2 linked regions of the Drosophila melanogaster genome follow. The protein of the gene in region 1 interacts with the protein of each later gene in a pairwise test. Each region holds a gene or a part of one and is shown in the gene's direction. Other genes may lie near its edges.

Evidence for each region. The genes of interacting proteins can lie anywhere in the genome.
Region 2: the proteins of cert (region 1) and CG5890 interact in a two-hybrid assay, tested with the Drosophila melanogaster proteins (one large-scale study listed by BioGRID).

What each region holds. Positions count from the first base shown.
Region 1 is NT_037436.4:8,283,858-8,291,747, reverse strand, and holds the start of cert (ceramide transfer protein), read left to right. Parts: upstream 1-1,877; 5' UTR 1,878-2,035; intron 2,036-2,264; 5' UTR 2,265-2,299; coding exon 2,300-2,578; intron 2,579-3,527; coding exon 3,528-3,920; intron 3,921-3,990; coding exon 3,991-4,139; intron 4,140-4,373; coding exon 4,374-4,434; intron 4,435-5,278; exon of another isoform or gene 5,279-5,555; coding exon of another isoform or gene 5,556-5,621; intron 5,622-7,454; coding exon 7,455-7,679; intron 7,680-7,743; coding exon 7,744-7,890. Other genes in the region: CG7201 (uncharacterized protein), read left to right, coding at 3-354, 423-834, 891-1,164.
Region 2 is NT_033777.3:25,854,482-25,859,196, forward strand, and holds the start of CG5890 (uncharacterized protein), read left to right. Parts: upstream 1-1,672; 5' UTR 1,673-2,492; intron 2,493-4,715.

The sequences.
Region 1 (7,890 bases):
CCATGGAGAAGGTGTTAAGGCGATGCAGTCGCCTGCTCCTCCTACTGCTGCTGCCACTTGTCAGCTTGTGTCCAAATGCATTGGCACTCAATCGACAGGCGGATGCTGGCCAGGCTTTGGATATGGCAGCGCAGCTGGCGGATGCGGAAGCCGAAGCCAGGCCGGATTACGATGCCGATTCCCCGGATACGCCGCACATACGCAAGAAGCGACTCATCTGGATTACGGATGATGGCAGATTGGCCCTGCCGCCGGGCACTTCGCTGACATTCGTGCCAACCATTGCCATGCCCCTGGTTCGGCATCCGCCCGAGGGATTCTTCTCCAACCTGACCATCAGTTTTCCCGTCACCAGTGCGTAGACAGCTCTCAATGTCAATGATTAATCAATTAACTCTGATTTTTGTTGCCTCAATCCACAGTTGACTTCGACAAACTGGGCCTGACAGACAACCAAAATCCTCTGGGGGATCTGCCGCCGCTGTTCGCCCGCTCCTTTGGTCACGAGGCAGGCCACATGGTTGGTGAATATGTGGCGAGGTATCTGCATGTCCAGCGCAGGAAGAGGGATCTCAGCGAGCAGCGGAGCAGAAGCAACGAGGATCATCCCTTTAGGATACACGAAGAGGGTCCAAAGTATCCGGAGCTGCCAGCCGGACTGCAGCATATTTTCCATGGCGGAGAGCGGGTTTTGCTCTATGGCGTAGTGGAGGACTTTCTATCCACCTTTGGCATGGATGGCAAGGCCTGTTTGCTGAGAACCATTTGTGAGATGCACTCACGAAGTTTGGAGAAGTTCGGTGTCTTTGGAGAAATGACAAAGCTATTTTTAACGTGAGTAATTTCCTCCTTTCAATCGTGATTCTTTGTTACACAGATCTCTCTTATAGGGTAACCAAATCTCCGTTTTCCGACCTGGTACCCGACTATGTACAAGCCCAGGAGGTGGGCGAGGGAAAGCAAGCACCAGGAGAATGTTTTCCCTACTTCAAGGACTGTCCGAAGAGTATATTTAAGGCCTTGTCCAGCAAGTATAGCAAACCAGCTCCTGCGAGCAAGACGAAAAAGACAAAACCCACAGACAGACCGGTGGGCGAATATCATGAGGAGCAGGTCATTCAACTGCCCACCACTCGGGATCAGGACAACAATGTGTATATGTAGAACAATGACCAACTCCCATGCGAACCCCTATTGTTGACCTCGTCTAGATGTTAGGATTACGATTGAGTTGAGCGCGTCCTCAAAGTCACTTGCTTGTAATTAACGTGTACTAATTAATTTATAATTATTTATTTTATTTACGCATTGTATTTATTGTTAGTCGTAGGCGTTGTTAATTGCTTAGATTTGTATCCATGTTTGTCTAGTGGTCTGTAAATAATTGAAATTGTGGCATAATTCCTTCCTTTCAACAAATGAAAACGTGTCGAATGAATAGAAAATAAATTTCCCTTGAAAGGTGCTTTATAATTGTTTTCATTCAAATAACAACTTACGGCAATAATGGCCAAGATATGTACAACATTGCGTTTTTAGATTTAAACTGGCGCCAAAAACGACAACTGCCTGCATTGCACAGCACTATCAGCAGTTACAAATCAAAGTTTGAAACCAAATTAAAGTGGTTACACTGGCAGCTAGATTTGGGTACTCTCCATGTTTTTGTGAAAGTAATATATGAAGCAAAATAATACTTAACGGTACTTAGTGCTCGGTTTGTAGTTATGTAATTACTTAACTAATTGCTCATTTTAAAGGGAAGATTTAAATTCAAATTTTGTGTATTTATAAGAAGAAGAAAAAGGCACTTCTGACAACTATCGAGAGTAAGACATCGATAGCGTAACGACTTATCGAAGGAACCGTCGGTCGTCAGACCATCTCTAGGTCAGCTTTGTTTTGGTTTTGCAGCGAAAAAAACATCAGCGTCGTGAGTTCTCTTCGCTTATTTACCAAGCCTCCCACAAACAAGCCAGAGCATTACGTGTTGCACAGATGTTTGCGGATCGTCGAGGAAATCAATAAACGAAAGGTGAGTGCTCCTGGGTGGGGGCCAGCTGGCGCTTCAGAACCGCGAAAAGGCGGTGCTGTGAGTCAGGCGATGCGATCGCTGATTGAATTGGATTATCACGATAGGAGCTCCCATCAAATTGCCAGCCGGCATTGTAGTTGTTTACATTGCGCGGACGTGGCGCAATATATTTTTAATCTTCTGCGGCAACCTGCTGATTAAGATACCCCCGAACCGTTTCATTGTATAGATAACTTGGCAGTTGAACTCCGGAGCTGGAAGAGGATGGACACGAACGCTGGGGAGTCGCTGGGAGCATCGCCGCCCTCGAGCAATGAGGCAGCGGCGGGATCACAGTCCCAGAGCGATGCCTCCGAGGAGGAGGAGTATCTGGACAACAGTATCGAACTGAGGGGCTATCTCAGCAAGTGGACGAACTACATCTATGGATGGCAGCCACGCTACATAGTCCTGAAGGATGGTACACTCTCCTACTATAAATCCGAATCGGAGTCGGATTTCGGGTGCCGCGGAGCCATCAGCCTGACCAAGGCCACCATTAAGGTAGGACGGCCGAAAAGAGAGAGGGTGGAGCTCCTTCCCCAAGTGCTTTCAATTGGACTAATAAAAAAGTAATGGGCGTGAGTGTGTGCGCATGTGTTTGCGACACATTAACCAACGATGACCGCGACCTGAGGTCTCCGTTTCCATTCCCAAGCCAATACACCCATTCCCAATCCAATTCCGAGCGACGCAATCAATGCAGCGCAATCAATTAACGTTGGGCGACCAAAATAGACCAAAATTGAAGTCATCAATGTAAGTGGGGTACCCCTCAGACCTAGGCGCTGCTAGAAGGCCTTCTGTTGACAGGAGGGCGTGTTGTTCTAGGAGGGTGTTTCGCCATGAGTGTGTACTTATCTATTTATACTGTAGGAGCTGCCAAAAGCATATACACAATGCTGACTCACTAGAAGCGGCCCTTCCATTCATTCGCCTTGACTTTGCGAACACTGATCTTATTCAAAGATATTGAAGCCTCATTTAGTTCAAAGAATTTTTCCCAACAATCCAAATAATAATTATCACCGATTTAATCGATCATGATTGGATTACTTGGATTACTTTACAGTGAAACCAGCTCACTTGTAGTTTAAGTTACTAATAATTGGATTTATTTGCAAGTGATTCATTTAAAATTTTAATTAATTTTCACAAATTTCTCTTAGTGTTTTGACTCATTCAGGTTCCACTGTAATTTCCATTTGCCAACAATAATCTTGTATTCGGGTGTTTTCCTTGTTGATTTCATGTTTACCACTGATTTGCGTTCCGCTATAATCAACCATTCAAAGTTAATTAGGTTTTTTTTTCGTCGAATTTATTGTATTTCGTTTTAATAACTGGCTTATTACTGGCATGAAATTTTCATTTAAAATATAAGTAAGATAAACCGTTTATTTGTACCTATTTTGTGCCTTTTACTAAGTTCAAGTTTATTTTTCTTTTGTAGGCCCATGAGTCCGACGAGCTCCGATTCGATGTTGTGGTGAACAACTTAAATAACTGGTGCCTGCGGGCAGAGACCAGCGAGGACCGCATGCACTGGGTGGATGTGCTGCAGCTGTACAAGGCGGACTCCGGCAGCACGGACACCACTTCCTTGCGCCGCCATGGCAGTACCATGAGCCTGCAATCGAACACTATCTCGCTGACCAGCGGAGGAAGCCTAAAGAAGACGCAGCGCAACCTGCGCGAAAAAGTCGGCGAGCTGGAGACCTTTAAGGATATACTATTTGGACAGATCGAGACTCTGCAGCGATACTTTGATGCCTGCTCGGAGGTGAACAAAAACAATGCGCAACCACTGGACCTGGGCGACGGTCTGAAGTCCATCGATTTCAAGGTAAAGTAGTGCACTTATCGGGCCATTGGTATATGTACAGTGTACTAAGCAAAACACTCGATTTTCTCAGGGCGAATCCATCACGTTTCGGGCCACAACGTCCGGCGTGCTAACCACCCTGCAGCATTGCCTAGAAATCATCGCCGAGAGCGATGAGTCATGGAAACGGAAACTGGAGCGTGAAATAGATAAGCGTCGACGTTCTGAGGACCAAAGCAAGTAGGTTGACCTAGTCGGAATAGATTCCTACAAGAAGAAGCAATTTCAATTACCTTTTTTGTATTTGCTTGAAAACCATACGTTTCTTTAAAAATTATCATGCTATTTCATGGTTTAATTTATTTAAAAAAGGATTAATAATGTATTTAAATTTAATGTGTACATTCATTTCTGAAGTTTATTCATTTAAACGATATTAAAACTATGGTAAAATTCTATGTTTCTTCTTTGCAGAAAGCTCAAGGATGAAGTTGAGAAAATGAAGCGTCTATCGTATCCTGGCCCAGATTTCGAGGTGAGTTCAAGTTTACAGCTCTCGTAAAAGCAAAAGCGTAATCGCATTCACGGTCATTGCTGCTCAAATCGGGGCCAAACACGTTCCCACTGAAAATGCAAACAATCGCCGAATGAGTGGCGCGAAATTCGTATAAACGATTTGCGTGCGATTTGTCGGCGTCTTAAAATAAACTGCCTGATTCGACGTTGTGTCAGAGATTTCATCATATGCAAGGAAAGTAGAACACGCTGGACTATTATTCAAGCGTTTTCAATTCGATTATGGAATGCCAGTATTTGGTTCCGAATTTTGGCTGACACGAAGTTCCCGTGTTCGTGTTAATCTGGAATTGGTCATGCAATATCGTTTTTCCGCTTACATTTGTTTGCCCAATCAATTCCATTTTAATGGCATATGTCCACAATAGCATTAGAAAAATGATGCTCTCCTACGAATTGTAAGTGCTCAACTTGGTTGTTATTCTTGGCTCGGTTACTTGGCGACTACTCAGGCTGAAAGACTGGGCGTCTAGACGGTTTCATTAGGCCTGTTTGACAGTTGGGCGTAGCTTAAGATCTACTTCGAGCCAATATTGCAGATATTGACGTTGAATAACGATCCAACCGTTGGCTAGAATGCACTTTGTGCAACGGGTATATTAACTATTACGTCTTCAGTGATCTTCATATGAAAATTTTGTTAGAAAATCCCGATTTAAGTGAACAATATATAGTAAACATGTACGTGATCTTTCACTATACGTTCAAGCTTAGAGCATTCAATATGCGGCTCACTTTTTGAGCTGTGGCTTTTAGCCTGGCTTACAGCTGTCAGGTTTATGGCTTATGAGCTAGGCTGGTCAGTCGGCGGTTAGCGATCGAGTGGCCAACACGTAGCAATTATAAACAAATTTGCTAGGCAAACAATTCAAAACGAGACTGTTTCTTTTTCATATTGGTCGTGGCATTTAATTGAGTGTGCAGATTGTGAAATTTCTTGCGTTGCATTGAAAGAGCTATAATAAATAAACAAGTGTACACAATTGTAGCAATCGCTAGTTCATGTTGCAAATATAAAAGCGCCGCACGCATCACTGTACAAATATACAAATTTATAAAATTATAAACAACGTCAACGCTATGCCCTCGGCGCGATTTCTGTGGCGCTCCGGCGGATTTCAGAAGGGCAGCGTTAAAAAAATAAAGGTACACTGAATTAAAATCATAAATAATTTACATAAAGGAGTGGTGGAATATATTTTTATAATATGTGTTTCGTATGGAAATATTTCAAGGCGTATTATCACTTTTATAAACAATAAACGTTTCAATATATCTCCAAATAAAATTTGATAACACTTTTAGTAATTTTGAATTTTTTTTCTATGTGCATATATAGCTGATAAAAAATATTAACAAACATCGTTGTGTTTTTGAAAAATTTCTAATCAGCTATGAATGTGGAATGTCAAATATTTTTTTATTATGATAAAAGTATTAGTTCGGAAGCATTGCTTTGATAAAATAATGGTATTTTTCCTTAGTGTATGAAATGTTGCCTAAAATAAGTTTCATAAAATGTTGATGTTGGTTTTTTCTAACCAAATTGGCCTCATTAGTGGGCCACCCCACTCGCTTTTGAATGTTGAATGTTTGAAGTGCGGTGGCCAAAGAACCCCAAGAATTGATTTATTATTTAAATGCAAGAAATCCTATCCATTGGAGCTTTTTGCTCTGTGCGCTTTTCGCTTTTTACTCTCAGTCGCCCGCTTTCTCCTGCTCTCTTTTTTTGGCCTTCTCTCTGCTCCGCTCATCCTGGCCAAGTTGGCCAGTGCGTTTGGGCCACCAGCAACAGTTTGTTTTGTGTCCTTGTGCTCGACGGAAGGATTCGCCAGGACACAAGTGCGCTCACTTTTCCTGCTTTCGCCTGCCACGCAACCCTTTCTCTCTCTCTCTTTGGCTCTCTTGCGGTGCGATTCCTGATTTTTTCCTGCTGAGAAGGAGCCTAATTTTTGCCGCCCAAAAACCTCTTCGCTTTTGTTGGGTTCAACTGCAACAATTGGTGGAGGAGCCTGGTAAGAGGAGACATAGCGACGCCACAGGAATAAGTACGCATATAGCCCATGTCTTCATTGTTGGTTAGCTGCGAGTGCCGCTTGGTCAAGATGATTATGCACTCGAATTCACGCCGCAGGGTGTATTTATTTCACCGCCTTTGGCTGCGCACATCTCTGCTTTAATTAATAAATATCAATTCAATTCCGCACAAATTCCATTCGAGGCATTTATTTTGCGCCGGTTGCCGTTCTGGGGATACACGCGCCAGTCGCAGACGTCAGAATGTGTACAGTGAACACTGGCTAGCACAGAATGGAGCGGATGTATACCTCTAAAGGGCCGAACTTCAAGGGACACTTTTCCTATATATCAATCCTAATTTCAGCATAATATTCTAAATACTCTCAAAATATTATGATTTTGTTTGTATATTACAGTAGCAATTTGGTAAACTCTGTTGCGAAATTCGAAACACATTGTTAGGAGGAAAAGAATTTTATAAATGGCAAATTTATCAACTTAATTAAATTTCGGCAGTATTATTGTGTAGCTTATTGGTGGTTTTTCCCCACGAGATGCCACTGCTTTAATGGGATTCAGTACCAAGTACCAAGCCCCGTCTGGCGGTCTTCTGCTTTCGTATTCATGGCACAATGATGCGCCTTTGTGTCCATTATGCTCGCCCAATTACGCATGCCAGCCGACTACGAGAATCTCCGCCTGGCGACTGGTCAGGGTATGGAATGGGCGAAAAAACAACAGCATAAATTTGATTTTCTTGGGCCATTTGGCCGCACAAGTGTCGGCGATTAATTTATACAAAGCACGTTCCATTTCTTTCCAATTGGATTGAATGCGGTTTCGTCATTAAAATTAATTAGGCCGAACCTTCAAAGATGCTTTTGGGCTAAACTTGACTTAGTTTGCTCGATGCTAATGGAGATATATGTATAATATGACATTTCCCTTTCAATTTCGCAGGAGGGTCCACATTCCACATTGCCCGAGGATGAGTTCTTCGATGCGGTCGAAACGGGCCTGGACAAAATCGAGGAGGACATGCAGCTGCGCTTCAAGCTTAAGCTGCAGTCCCAGATCTCCCAGACACTGGTCAACGTTCCACACGAGGCGGTGGCCGAGGGCGAGGAGGCGCGCGAGGAGTTCGGCACGGGTGCGGAGGCCACCAGCCATGCCCTGTGGCCGGAGGTAAGACCGGAAATTGCCAATCTGGCCCCCTAACGACCAGCCAATAATTGGATTTATCCCGCAGATCGATCGCGTGTGCAAGGAGCAACTGCATTACGCACGCGAGGGCGTTGGCCAAGACGGCAACGGCTGGCAAATCTTTGCCGACGAGGGGGAGATCAAAATGTACAAACGCGAGGAGGAGGTCAACGGGCTGGTCATGGATCCCTTG
Region 2 (4,715 bases), on another chromosome or scaffold:
ATAAAGAGGTGCATACGAAAGAAGGACTAATTATGCCAGCTCTCAAGGCAACAACTGTTTTTACCCCTTTTTTCACAGCATGTTTTATGTACTGTACCCTATATTGTTAGGTCCCCGAGCGTTCTTCCATGGTCATTAGAAATTTAATTAAAAATTTTGATATTGTTAGGAGTATAGGGAATTCTATTTATTTCAAGCTTCTTCCGCCCGATTGCCCATTAAGCGGTATTAAAACTGTCTTCCCCTCGGTGCCAAAGTGTCATACTTGTGCATATTTCACACCCTCGCTCGCATTCACAGAAATGTGTGCACATTTCGCAGGCAATGAGCTTTTGAACATTTAATGAGTTAATACGCTAAATTTGAAAGCCGCTCAAGCGTGCGCCAAGTGCTTCAAACACTTGTCCCCATCCCCGAGCTGCCCATTTTCCAGCTTGAATAATGAGAATGGGGGTATCAAGCCGCTAAATCCAGCACTGAAAAATTTTTCATCAACTTAATAGAAATGTGTTTATTTTTTAATAATATACATTTAGTTTGTAAGATATGTGAAATAAAATAATTTCGAGTTATTTATGAGAATTATATACGAATAAAAGATCAAAAAAATAAAACTAAATTTTTCTCAGTGTACGCACACACGCATATGCAAAACACTAAGCACTTGTCATTTGGCTGTAAACCCTACGCGTCCGTTCGTTGGTATAAAAAAAACAGTGCAAATGTCCAACAGACGAGCATATGTACATACATATGTACACTATAGGTATGTGCGATGTATGTACATATGTACATATGTGCGAAATGGAGGATTGGTTGGCTGTCGTGGCGTCGTATTCATCCTGAACTCATGGGTGTCATTTCTCAGGACCCTCGCGGTCTGCAGGATAACAGCAGCGTAACAGAAGAAGACCCTCACTGGGGACCAGGACCAGAAAAGTAGAGGCTGCCAGACTGCCTCACTTTTGGCGTTCAAGTGAAAGGACGAAGTCGCCGACACTGGTGTGGCAATACTTTTGGCAGCCAATTGTGCGGGCTGAGCAAGATGAATGAGGAATATGAGTGTTGCTTGCACAGTGGGCTACTTTCAAGGGTGTTGGAAGATTCATAACTATCTTAAAGATGCTTTCAGCAGTACTTCTTATGTGCGAGATATAAATTCAACAATTTCTAGATTTTGTAAATAAATATTTCCTTCTCTTATCCAAAATCATTTATAATAAAATAATAATTATTTTATTATAATATACAATATAATAATAGTTGTCATGAATTTAAATGTCACAAACAGGCTGTCTTTCATTAGTAACATATTTTAAAAATTACTCATACGCCACGTTGTCAGTCAAGTAAATATATTTGCCATTTAAAACAGCTCTTCCAATATTATTACAATTCAAACTAATTATATGCGTTATGTGGCTACTTAGTCCACTGTAACCGCCGAGGGCTATGCTATACCCTATGTGCCGCCCGCAACCCAAGTGAGTGCGCACCCACTCTCCGGCGAACTCGCTCTCCGTCTCCGGCGGAGTGGCTCCGGATATTTCGGCAACAGAAGCCTGGCTGCGATAGCCGGAGATTTTCCGAGCGAGGGAAAACCGAATGCCGAAGCGTCGCTGCTGGCAAACATTTTCCATTTTCGCAGTCCTGTAATCAGTTGTGTATAGGACACTCGCGTGCGCGCGTCGAACGGTTTCTGGCTTTATTTGTGGGAAAAGTGTGTGTCTGACGGCGAAACGGTAAACGGGGAAAACGCTGCGCGGTTTTTGCTGCTATCGAGTTCTTCTTTTGCTGGATTTTATATATGGAAACGATTGTTGCTGCTGTATCATTGCAGCTTGCAGCTTTAAATTTAACTTAAATGCTAAAACATCGTTTTGAAAAGCAACGCGAGAGTTAGACAAACAAGTTGGAGGAAATTTTCCAGCTACAGCTACAGCTGCTGCCTCAGCCAGCGTCGCAGTCGCTGTTCGAGATAAAGGATATGCCCGGATCTAAAAGATACAGTTTTTCCTCTTGTTTCTTTTTCCGCTGCTGCTGCTCGTGCTACATTTGCTGCTTGGCATTTTCCGCACAGCAACAACAATCGTTGAGACAGGACCGCAAGTTTTGCTAAAATGTAACATAACACCAAATAAGCAGAGTTAGGAAGAGTGAGCGCCAAATAATGCAAATAAATGAATAAGCCCAAATCATTAACAAATTAAAACGAGGCACGCAAAGGAGGGCAGGAAAATATAAATATCGAAAGGAGTCAAGTCAAGTGCTTTCGAGGAGCTGTTTGCTGACATGCTTTGAGGTTAATACCACCCACCACCACCCAACCGCCCACTACCACCCATCTCAACCATCAGCCATCACCAACTCCTCCTACCTCCCTCATCTCCGTTTTGGCCAATTTCTCCGTCTGCTTTCGCCGCTTTCTTCGTCAACGCCGCTGCTGCCGCCGCCGCCGCCGCTGCTGCCGTCACCATCAAAAGGCATCGAAGGTAAATATATATGTTATATTTTAGCCGAGTGTGTGTATATAAGTCAATGGGCCAACAAACTAACCTACAAAGTAAACAAAAGCGTTACGCTACAAATGCAAATTTTTCGCACACATGCTCAAGAACTATAAACAACAACTCATTTAACTGACGCCATGCCCCCATAAAAAAACCAAAAACAACGCAGCTTAAGACTAGAAATGAAAAAAAAAAAATGGAAAACAAACAGTGAAAAGGTGGAAATGGCACGGCAAATGAAACACAACAAAGCAAAACGCACGCTTCTAAAGCTATTTGTATAAAATTTTAATCGCATGCGATTTATTTGACTAGGCGCCAAAGTCGCACGCACGCACACCATCGCATTTTCGCAGAGGCACCCACACACACACACACGCAGGCTAGTGAAAATTCACACACTCACCTTGAAAAATGCGAAAAAACAGTCTGGAATATTTTGTTTATTTTTCGCAAAATTATGGAAAATATTTATGGGCTCTATTTGAAGTTTGAGCTGTGCCAGGTTTTTCATTCAATAATTGAGGAAAATAATGAAAATGTTTAAAAAACGCATCAAAGAGTATTTTTGTGAGATTATATTTAAAATTGGATGTGAGGCTTCGATTTACTATTGAAATGTTAATTTTCATATTTATTTAAACAAATAAGAATCTGTGTTTGAAGACGCACCTGGCTGCAATTGTTTACTGTTTACGGCACTGTGAAAATATATTAAATTGTTCATACATATTTTTAACTTTTGGCAGAAGTGTCGACAACTTGTTTATAATTTTCCAAAATAGTGAAGCTTTACATATGTTATTTTTTAGCATTGCGGTAATATATGGGTGAGAATCGAATATACTAACATATTCCTTGAGTATACGATTTGTTTGTTTTATTTTCTTTAACAATATTACAAAATGAATTATTCCCAGAAGTGGTAAAACTCTTTTTACATGGCGTTTAAATTGCGTCATTAAAAATTCCCATTATTCAACCCAATTTCCGTGTCATTTAATCCGTGACAAGCTGTTAAAAGGAAACAAACAAACAAAAGTTGTGCGCAACAATTGATAAGCAACAAAAGCAACTATCGTGCCGCTTGGCAATAAACCATAAAATAAATGCCAATTCCATTTAGATGCACAAGCCGATTAAAAAGTCAACTTGGCATAGTTTTCCAACTCGTGCGACATTGATTCGTGATTGATTTGGTCATATTGTAATCTAATTTCACCGATTTGAAAAGTAACTTCAAGTAGTGTAAATCACATTATGTAATTAATCAAATATATGGAGATTTAATATATATATTTTAAGCGATTTTACACGACAAGGTCCTTGCCAAACTAAATTCGCTGTCATCTATTTATATAATCCCTGGCCAACTATTTTAAGTGCTTCTAGCCGAGAAAAGCTGCATCTGCATCCTAAGAATAAAATGAACTTGGTCGCGGGAAGCTGGATGAAAAACACTTAACGCGCAACTAAGCGACAATTGTTGTTTTGTGTGGCATTTAAAAATAGAATCAAGGTGCGCTCTAGTTTCATTCATCCACACACAGAGACATCCCCACTCACACACACGGCGCACACACAGATACAGGTACAGAGCCTACATAAAAGTGGCTGCTGTTGTTTTGCAAGTGGGTGAATGCGGGGCAAAGGGGCGGTCGCCGGGATGTATGCTACACGAAACTGTAAATAGAAAAGTTATAAATAAAATTCACACGAGCCAACATTGAAAAAATGAACTTGGAAACTGTAAAAAATAAAATAAAATATAATAAAAACCTGGTGAGTGGACGCCATATAATGGCTGATCATTCAAATATTCAATTATTGGAATGAGCATCGATGACAGCACACAAAATAAATATTGGTAGATGATATATGTTAAATTTAAACATTTTGTGCAGCACATCTGGGCACTATTACTTACCGGTTAAAGGTCAAAACACCTTGGCCTTGGCCAAAAGGAAACTCTAAGGAAAACGCAAAGACACGCAAGGCAATACCAAACGAGAACCGCAGCTGTGAGCTGCAAAGTGATTCAACGCTTTTCGGCTATAAAGTGCCTAATCACTTTGGGTGTTAGATGTGTGGGCCATTCAATGACACTGGTAATTACTGGCCCAATCGAATGATATTGTCTTGGCCTAAGTGAGTAATGAGCAAAGGGCGTGACAATCGCCAAACGTCCAGACCTCGTTGAATAAT